Arabidopsis thaliana: one gene and its partner. The protein of the gene in region 1 interacts with the protein of each later gene in a pairwise test. Each region holds a gene or a part of one and is shown on either strand. Other genes may lie near its edges.

What was found. Proteins that work in one complex are often made in the same cells at the same time.
Region 2: the proteins of AT4G16980 (region 1) and COR413-PM1 interact in a protein complementation assay, tested with the Arabidopsis thaliana proteins (one large-scale study listed by BioGRID).

The regions. Positions count from the first base shown.
Region 1 is NC_003075.7:9,553,765-9,559,143, forward strand, and holds AT4G16980 (arabinogalactan-protein family), read left to right. Parts: upstream 1-3,018; 5' UTR 3,019-3,322; coding exon 3,323-3,817; 3' UTR 3,818-4,175; downstream 4,176-5,379. Other genes in the region: AT4G16970 (Protein kinase superfamily protein), read right to left, coding at 1-64, 151-214, 304-366, 460-526, 653-1,348, 1,437-1,504, 1,606-2,002; AT4G16983 (uncharacterized protein), read right to left, coding at 3,397-3,512, 3,555-3,705.
Region 2 is NC_003071.7:6,947,578-6,952,774, forward strand, and holds COR413-PM1 (cold regulated 413 plasma membrane 1), read left to right. Parts: upstream 1-2,273; 5' UTR 2,274-2,585; coding exon 2,586-2,755; intron 2,756-2,840; coding exon 2,841-2,948; intron 2,949-3,031; coding exon 3,032-3,102; intron 3,103-3,190; coding exon 3,191-3,435; 3' UTR 3,436-3,448; coding exon of another isoform or gene 3,449-3,483; 3' UTR 3,484-3,615; downstream 3,616-5,197. Other genes in the region: AT2G15960 (stress-induced protein), read left to right, coding at 1-9; AT2G15980 (Tetratricopeptide repeat (TPR)-like superfamily protein), read right to left, coding at 3,772-5,197.

The DNA of each region.
Region 1 (5,379 bases):
GATGATGCAATCAGAATCTCCATTCTTGAGACAGCCTTCATGCTTTATTATACAGTTTTTCCCCCTAAATAAAGCAATAATTTCAGCAGTTTCAGATCGTTATGCTTGAAAATGTGGAAGGTTCATGCCTAATCATACTTAGTTACTTACCCAAAACGCTCCAGCATTCTGATTTCATTATTCACATAATACTTCTGAGCGCCAACATGAGGGCCTGCAAGGAAAACAAATGAGGCAAGTCTTCCAACGAAAAACACTGATGCAGTGAAAACATTTAGCCACATATCATTTTCTTTCCCGTACATTTAATTGCAAACTCTGTTCCATCAGTTTTCCTCGTTGCCTTATAAACAATCCCGTAGCCACCTACATTTGGATTTCACCAGTGATTAGTCAATAACTAGTTAAGTTGTTACAATAGAATGAGGAATATAGATGAAATAGACTGGAAAGAAATACCTGAACCTTCTTCCTCTACAATAGTGTAAGAATCAAAATCTGGAATTGTGTTATGCTTTGCCTGATCCTAAACCACAAATATGAGAAGAGAACTTTTAATATAGTGTGCATTAATGCTAAAATTCGGTGCAAGAGTGTTAACGTAGTTAACATTATATAAAGGCCTCACTCTAGACGAAAGAGACATGTCTACCTTCTGATCTTTAAGACGAACGGTGTTAAAATTCTGCTTCCTCTTCTGGATAACTTTACTTTTTCTGGTGTGTTTTATCTCAGGGGAACAGCTGTACGTTTTGCTGTTTCCCGGCAATTTGCATTGATCCAGAGTTTTTTGTACCAAAGATTTATCTTGATTAGCTTCTGTAGCAGAAGGCTTCAACGGCAGCTCTCTGTCAGGGGTGCTAACGATGTCTACAGTGTGATCATCTACAAGTAGATCTTCAGTGTCATCCACAATCTGCACTGGTTCTAACTCATTTTCTGTTGGCATCAATGAGGCAACGGGATCGGACTGCACAGAATCAGTTTGTATCTCTCCCTTAGGGAAGAGATCCTTCTTATTTTTATCATCACCTTCTTCGATTAATATTTGGTTGTCAGCAATTTGGAAATCTCCAATTTCAGGTCGCTCGTAATATCCATCCTCCTGAGGAGATGGCAAATCGTTCTTGCTTTCCTCTAACCGATGTGTAGGATTGACATCCACTGAAGCATTGGATGTCTGCGGACCAGGCTGATGATCTTGAACAAAAGCCTCTATTCCTCGGTTAGATGCACTTAAATTGAAAACCGAAGCTTGGGATTCAAGAGCTAAAATAGTCCCAAGCATAGTTCCACAGGCAACAGTTCTGATGTCGTTAGGTCTGCTATCTATTACAGAGTAATTCACCTAGAGAAAATAATCAATAACACAATGAATCAACCACCCACTAAACCATACCGTGAGAACTTCATATATATCTTAAGAGATTACTTACATCGTTTCCATCATTTCGACTTCTTTTGGGCAATGGCATGAGCTCTAGCTCCTCTTGTTCCGCATTCTCTGATACATTACCATAAATAACCCAAAATTGAGAAGAGAATCTCTATGTAAGTGTGACCTACTAAACCGCAATATCAGATAAAATTGCAAAAACTTAGTACCTCTCGAATGCTTTAGCGTGAGAGATCTCGGATCCATAAACTGTTCTAACACAACATTTTCCTGCAAATCCAAACTACAGGCGAAACTAGCCGGAGCGGAGGGAGACTCAGGCGAGAGAGTCACAGTGAAGCCATCTTCGGCAAGGGAAATAGGAGAATTAGGGATCGAGCAAAGATATTTGACGAGATTAGGAGAACCTTGGAAGTATGTACACTTTGAAGAAAGATCTATAACAGATTCTGGATGACCAGAAGAAAGTAGGAGACGAGATAACTCAAAAGCATGCAGATGATAGTTAAGGTCGTCGTTGCCGTCTGAATTGGTGGGACTAAGAGGAATGAGCTCTCTTCCGGCTGTAGAATTCTCGAGTTGACGCGGTTCCGAGTTTTCTGACATTGCAAATGCTGTGAATCTGAGGGAGAGAGAGAGAAGCTAGGGATTTGAGAATTTGAGATTTGGGGGGCAAATGGAGAAGGAGCGGGAGAATGGCACGTGCGGTACGTGTGATGTTTTGTTTCGAGGATTTTGTACATAAAAATGTTCCCGCTCATTTCTTTGCCAGCTGGATTATTTACGGCCTCATGCGTCTACAGGCCCATTTTAAATGAGCCCATATAGCCTGGAAATGTTTCATTGATTGTAGTCTTGTAGATAATTTTTAGAACAATGCAATTATTCAAGATGCTAAAACTTGCTGCATTTCGAACTATATATTTGAATAACCTTCTCAAATACTATTATTGGTTACCTAATGTTTTTGATGCTCTAGAAGTTCAATTTATAACATGCAAAGAGAAAAACTGGAGTTCATGGTTACAGAAAACAACATTAGTCGTCAATTTCAAATGAAAGTAATCCCATAAAATATATATATACATGCATGCATGACTATGTATGGATGGTTATATCATATATGGAACATGTGCATTTGTGATGGTATAATGTAAAGATGGATAAATAGTAAATGATGGCCAAAGAGTGCTCGTGAGAGACAAAGGAAATGGTATGGGGTAACCAAAATGTCGGTTAGTTGGTGCGGACATAATATTGGCCGTGGAGCTAAATCAGGCTGTGTGACTAAATACAACACAAATGGTCCCTTTTGTTTTTCGTTTTTTGTTTTGTAACATAGCATTATGCTCTTTTATCTTGTCCTATGTAAATTTTGTCTTCTCCTGATAATATTATAGAATATCTTGATATGGTTATCATAAATTTTCTGTTAAATTTACAGAAAACAAAATGAACATTAATGTTCTAACATATGAATGGCTAACATCAGTAATGACCTGTTCTAATAAATTTGATATGGCCCCTTAAAAACCATCCCGTGAATCCGATTGATCGTTTCCACTATGTCTTTAAAAGAATAAATATAAAAGGCATTGTAATCATAATATCCTCCATTTCCATATATATTGACTATTCTATCTGTACCTACAATGAGATTTCAACTTTGGAGTTTTCATCTTTTTTTTCTTTCCAATTTGTGGAGGAAAATAAATCAGCATCTCATACCTATCCATCGACTGATACGTGTCACACATTGTATCCAACGATCCAAAATTATAAAACAAATAATCTCTAATATATATCCAAATAGCACAAAGAACCTTCACTTTTCTCTCCCACTCTTTCTTTTACTACTCTCACACATATCTCTGTCTATATATCACTTTACATAAACGACTATTCCACACACAAACACACATAGCCATGGCCTCTTCTTTCTCTTCACAAGCCTTCTTCTTGCTCACATTGTCTATGGTTTTAATTCCTTTCTCTTTAGCTCAAGCTCCCATGATGGCTCCTTCTGGCTCAATGTCCATGCCGCCTATGTCTAGCGGCGGTGGAAGCTCGGTTCCTCCTCCAGTGATGTCTCCGATGCCAATGATGACTCCACCACCTATGCCTATGACTCCACCACCCATGCCCATGACTCCACCACCTATGCCTATGGCTCCACCACCAATGCCCATGGCTTCACCACCAATGATGCCAATGACTCCATCTACAAGCCCAAGCCCATTAACAGTTCCGGATATGCCTTCGCCGCCGATGCCATCCGGAATGGAATCTTCACCTTCTCCAGGACCCATGCCACCGGCAATGGCGGCTTCGCCGGATTCAGGAGCTTTCAATGTTAGAAACAACGTCGTAACACTTTCATGCGTTGTTGGAGTTGTTGCAGCCCATTTTCTCCTCGTTTGAAATGATTATTGAATTGGTCAGCCTCGATCGTTTTCTTGTAATTTACCTTCATTTTTTTCCCTCAAATTATTAGTGGTCATCATTTTATAATATTTGAGTTTGTGTTTGATGTACGATTCAGACATTTGTTTGCATTATGTGCTTAATAAGTTTATCGTTGACTCTACTTGAAGAGAGACTTTGTATGTGATGTAAATTTCTTCTATCTATGGAACATTGCATTCGTAGTCATATATAGGACATAAATATGGTTACAACTTGGAAGGATAAATACCACAAGGCACAATATGATCAATACGACAATACCTCTCATTGTTAGTCGATAATATCGATGTATATAGTCACTAGACTCACCGATCCGTAATTCCTTTTAACAAAAAATACGTTATTCAGATATGTTATTTTCATATATATGTGTAAAAATGTTCTTCCTAATAATTAAAAGAGACAAACCAAAGAAAAGGCTATATTTGCAAGCTGTCATTGGAATTTTGCATACATTTTCTCTATATATTCTCATTGAAATTCATTTATTCTTTCATTTTATGGAGGTGTAGAAATACATAAAATCCAAAGAAAATGAGAAATTTTCAAATATGTTGAATTTGAGAATGGAAGAATATGACAAAGGTGGGTATAGTGAATAAATGGTAGGGAATATAGATATGCCCGACCCAAGAGGACAGCTAAAAAGAAAGTGACGTTCACATGTCTGTCTTTCTCTATTGCCCCAACCATTTTCCAATGTGTATTAGTAATAACAGAAATCATACATTTAAAAAGAACTATATAGAAATTTTATTCATATATATATAGCAGTACTAGTTAGTATATCTGCATTTTTTTGTTTTTCAAGTCATGTTGATGATTTATTACTTTAAACAGATGCCGAAGCTTTCTAAAGTAATTACGGTAAATATATGTTAGTCATTTGTAAAAACGACCGATGACAGAAAGATATGTTTTATTTCTTAGTATATCTAACAATGTTATAACCGAATGATGACAACCTATAAACCACAATAGAGCACTAATTTAATTACATGCTCTTTGTTGCTGGCTCCGTACACCGGCCACCACAATCAAAACCTTAATTGTCCACTTTTTAGCCACTTCGAATTCTCAGAAAGATAAATCTAAGGAAGTTCTAGGTCTTTCAAAGGCCACAAATCTCGATATGTTGGTGGTTTGTGAATATGCAAATCTTTGGTGATACGCTAACTTCTTCAATTCATAATTTCAATAAACGAACTGAGAATTTACTGATGGGTAGTTGTTCAAAGCTGGAGTTTCTTCCACCTGCTGACGTTTACTTGGAATCTCTCAAGGACCCAAATCTAAGGAAATGCTTACGGTTGAAAAGTGTCCGTCCGATTTCGAAAACCATTCCAGGTATTTTTTTTTAAGTCTTACAACATATTCTTTCCGGTGAGGAGGAGACCATGTTGTTTTTCTTCCCAAGAAAATTTAACCTCTATTGCTATGATCCTAAGTGTATAAAAGGCTTGCAATCAATGGAGGTTTTAATTATAGTCCATGGGTGAATAATGTCATCAATAGTG
Region 2 (5,197 bases), on another chromosome or scaffold:
CCTTGGTGATCTTTCCATACCCAACTACTTCTAGATCTCTTCTTTGGTGATGTGTATATATATATCTAGAAACTACATGTAGTATGTCTATATATCAGATTTTGTTTGTGCAGACCATGTTTTTAAGTTTCCTTGTAAACCTGTGAAAGTAATGTGTTTGAGAAACATATTTTTATTACTTTAATCAATAGTGTTCAATTATTATTAACCGGGATTTATATGAAGATGGAACTTTCTATTCACTCTGTAATTAGGAACATTCGCATCATTCAGTAAGAAATAAAACAAGAAATGATTATAATTTTTCTAATAACGTAGGAATTCTGAGGGAACCCAAAACTAAAATTTGATTGAAAGATTTTGAAGTGGCCAATCATGAATGAGATTGCTGGAAGATATCATCAATATTCAATACAGATAACGATTTTTTTTTTTTTTTATTGATACCAAATGAGCTTTCGGCTTTTGGCCCAGACGGAAACAACGGTTACAAAAGGTTTGGGCTTTGGGCTTTGGGCTTTTGATCCACATGACGATCATATAGTTCTTTCCTTCAACACAAAACACTTGAAGTGTATCTTATCAACTAAACTCTATTCCAGCAAAATTATTTCAAAATTAGATATATGGGAGAATTTTTACAGGCCATTCTAGATTTTCATTAACGCTGTGATTTATCCGTTAATAAGTACGATTAAGAGTAAAACGACGTCGTTTGCAATTGAAACAAAAATCCCCAATTCAGAAATAAGAAACCCTAGATCCTCAAATCTCTTCTTCTTTTCTTCTTCGAATTCACTCCTGTATTTTGAAATCAAAGTGAATTGCAAGGCACAAAGTTCATGCTTTAAAGCACTGCAAATGGCGAAGTCATGATTTATATGGCATTTTTCCTGTTTTTGTTTCAATTGCAAACGACGTCGTTTTGCTCTTAAACGGTCTCATTAACGGATAAATCACATCTTCTAATTGCTCTGTTTATTCAGTTGATGTTGTGACTAATTTGGCTCTGTCAACGAAAGTTAGTGATTTTATCTGAAGTCAACACGTAATTGATGATTTTAATCACAAAGTACAAAGTTTATGTTTAAAGCACCACAAATTGCGAAGTCGTGATTTAAATGACATTTTTCCCGTTCTGGTTAAACTAAGTTTCTATTATTTAATATGGATATTGTGGAGCGTAGTGTCAGCACTCAGCAGCTTATTTAACGTGATACTCTTTAACCGAGTAACAACTAGTGAGGTCATATTCAGGACCGATCCAACAATATTGAGGGTTTTACTCCAAGTAAAATTTTAGTTTTATTTTTAATTATCATAAACGACATAAATATAATATGGAAAGATCACAAATACTGATTAAAAACTAAAATCATCAAAACGAAAAAGAAAAAAGAAAAAATTGGGTTCAACTCTCATGAGTTATTAAACATTTTAGGTTTTAGGCTTAAATCTTTAAAAAAAATCAGAACTGAAAAACGAAAAATTCTAATTTTATTTTGGACTCTGATTCATAGCTTATGTCGCTTATGTAGTTATGCTAGGGATGAATCTGTATTTCGTTACCGTAATGAGAGTTCGATACTCTCTTACTTGTTACGATTCTGGAGCATGTTACATTTTTTTCTTTCCGTCAACAACAACTTTAATATGGTAAAACAAAATTTATTTTTATTTGGCTGGTCCTACTCAAGACAAATCTTCTGCCGACATCACATAATCATATTAAAAACCATAACTTCTGCCACTCTGTTTTTTTTTTTTTTTGTAACCATTAACTGATTGGATTTTGATCCATCTCATCTGATTTTTTAGCTCAACAATTTACTTGCACATTTTCTATTTGGTTTTATTTATACTTAGTTACATATATGATTATCGAACTAGTATCTCTTTATAATTAAGTATTTTTCTATTTTTTTTTAATTTAGATTTTTGTGAATTCATTTACAGTAGAAAACTGTAAAACCATATGGTCTAATTATAGAATGAAAACTTCAACGAATCCATACAACTTATTGGCTAAATATAATAAATCTGCTTGAAGCATATTGTTATTATTTAGTTGGATTTGACGATCTCTGACTTTAATGTATACCGACATACCCTATGATTTAGATGTTGATTTTTCCCATTCTTAATATATCCATGTTAAGAGATTCCACCATAACATATCTAATTATTTGCATTGTAATAAATATTATCATTAAAAAAAAATACAACTGGACAGCTGGCTCGTCCCATTGTTTCTTACGTCCACCAATTACATTTGTTAAAGCAAACTTATTAGAACGTTCATGTGTGAGAAGTTGGTGTCGACATGTGTCTAAGGTCTATGTCAGAAATCGGATTAGCTTATTAAGTAAACTATACTATATCATTGTTAATATAGATAAAATATCTAGTTCGTCCAAATTAAACTATTTTCATAACTGCCACGTGGCGTAAACGTATCCATCGAGTCACTTGTAATATCTTTATAACCAAAGTCTTCCAACACATTCATCACCATCTATCTACTCTTTACTCTCTTCTCTTCTCACATCAATTATTCATAGTTCTCTCTTCTCCGGCAAGAAAAGATGCCTATGAAGTCGTTGAGGAATGACCATGGAACCCTTAAGGCCATGATCGGATCCGATTTCAACGAGCTCACTATCGCTGCTAAGAACCTAGCTACACACGCCTTCACACTCACTGGTTTAGGCTTTGGTACCTCTGTCCTCGAATGGGTTGCTTCAATCGCCGCCATGTAACCATTCTCTCTGTTTCTATGTCTCTTTCCTCTATCCGTTTCTTGTGTTGATCTTGATGAGGTTTTGATGTAATAAATGCAGATACTTGTTGGTGTTGGATCGAACCAATTGGAAGACGAATATGCTCACATCACTTCTCATTCCTTACATCTTCTTCAGTCTTCCTTCCTTGATCTTTGGTATTTTCAGGTATAACACAACAAAAGCCAGAGACTTTTTCTTTACTTATCATTATGTTCCTAAACCCTAACTTGTGTCTGAAACTTTGACAGAGGAGAAATTGGTAAATGGATTGCTTTCGTAGCTGTTGTTGTACAACTCTTCTTTCCTAAACACGCCAGAGGTTTGTCTACTTTTTTTCATTCACTCTCCATTACAAGCAACAAGACTTTGATTCTGATTTGGCTTATCTCTGTTGTTTGTGTTATTAGAATACCTGGAATTACCGGTGGCTTTGGTTCTTCTCGCCGTGGTGGCACCAAATTTGATTGCTGGCACATTCAGAGACAGTTGGATTGGTTTAGCTATATGTTTAGGTATTGGATGTTACTTGCTTCAAGAACACATTAGAGCTTCAGGTGGATTCAGAAATGCATTTACTAAAGCCAATGGTATCTCCAACACCGTCGGGATCATCTGTCTCGTCGTCTTCCCCGTCTGGGCTCTTATCTTTTAAGTTAACTCTTCAGTTTCTTTTTCCATTTGTCTTTTTTTTTTCATGTAAGAGTGATTGCTTTGTACGATCTGTCTCTCCTCGTAACTCTATCAATGAATGTGATTTGAATAAGAATTGCTTCAGCAATAAGATATCATCATGAGGTGTTAGTGTGGAATAAATCTCCTCTTTCATCATTATAGCTTTAATGGGTAACGTTGTATCATCTTACAATGTGTACCACTTCTTACCGCTTTCTCGTACCACCACAAAACTTGTCCACATTGTGTCACCAATTGGTTTCTATGTGGTTTTGTCATCTTTGCTTCACCAGCTTACCAACGAAGCTCAACTTTTCTAGCTTTCTTCTTCTGCTCTTAGCTTGAGTGATTCAGCCATTTCTATGGCCAACAATGCTGATGTTTCCTCATCACCTACTATTCCATACCCGTCGATAAAAGCTCTATACGTCTCTTGACTCGGCTTAAATCCTTTCCCAACCATCTCAGCCTGAATGTTCAATGCTCTATCCATCTTCCCATCTTCACACAACCTCTTTACCAACAACTCATAACAATTCCGACTAGGATAAAACATTGCTTCTCTCACCGCATCCTTCACGATATCCGCAGCTTCAACAACTCTCTGTCCATCCCTATCATCACATAGCCCTTCAACTAACGCTTCAATTGTTAAACCATCTGCCTCAAAACCTTTCCTTTTCATCTCCCTATAAACAACCAAACCCGAATCAACATCCCCCGCTTTACAATACCCGTTAACAAGATGCTCATACGTCAAACAAGTACACTCAATCCCCTTCAACCCCATATCTCGAAAAAGCTCCTTCGCTTTCACAACTTCAAAGTTACTACAAAGCCCACCAATCATAGTGTTATAAGCCACAATATCATAAACCACTCCTCTCACCTTCATCTCTTCCCATACCTTCTCCGCTTCACTCATCAAACCTCGCGCACAATACGCCTCCATCAAAACATTATAGCTATAAACATTCGGAGAACATCCAACTTCCTCCTCCATTTCTCTCCATATCCTCTCCACCATCTCAGTCTCACCTTCTCTATAAAAACTCACCATCATCGAATTAAAAGTGGTCGCATTTGGCTTAATCTTACCTATCATCTTTTTAGCTTCATCAACACTAACATCATCTAAACCAAAAACTTCTCTATACATCTTATATCCATTAGAAGCACCTCTACGCCTAGAAACCTCTGTGATCAAAGCATTACAAGTACTAATCTGTGCATTGATTCCTCTAGACCTTAACTTTCTCATAACCATCACAGCTCCATCAATCTCTTTCGAATCAAGACAAGATTTTATCAACAAATCGAATACAAACGGAGCAGAGCCACATCGATTATAACTCTTAATCAACGAACGGAACACTTTCAAGACTCTGTCTTCGTCTTCGTCGGTGGCGGCGAGACGGAGAGCGAGACGTATGATTTCACTAGCGTGGCTTTTGAGACGAGATCGAGAGAGGATGTGGATGAGAGTTGAGCAGGAGTGTGTGTCGTGAGAGCAGAGAGAGTAACGGCGAGTGAAGAGGAAGAAACGGAGAGAGAGGTGAGGATTGTTGCGGAGGCAGAGAGTGATTTCGGAGAATTGAGAAGGTGTGAAGCCTGAAGGCTGGAGTGATCGGAGAGTGGACCAACGGGATTTGGAGCGGTGGTGTGTTAGGATTGAGACGGCGTCGGAAATTAGAGGATCTGATGGCGGAGACGGCGGAGAAGAGACGGTAGTGAGGAGAGAG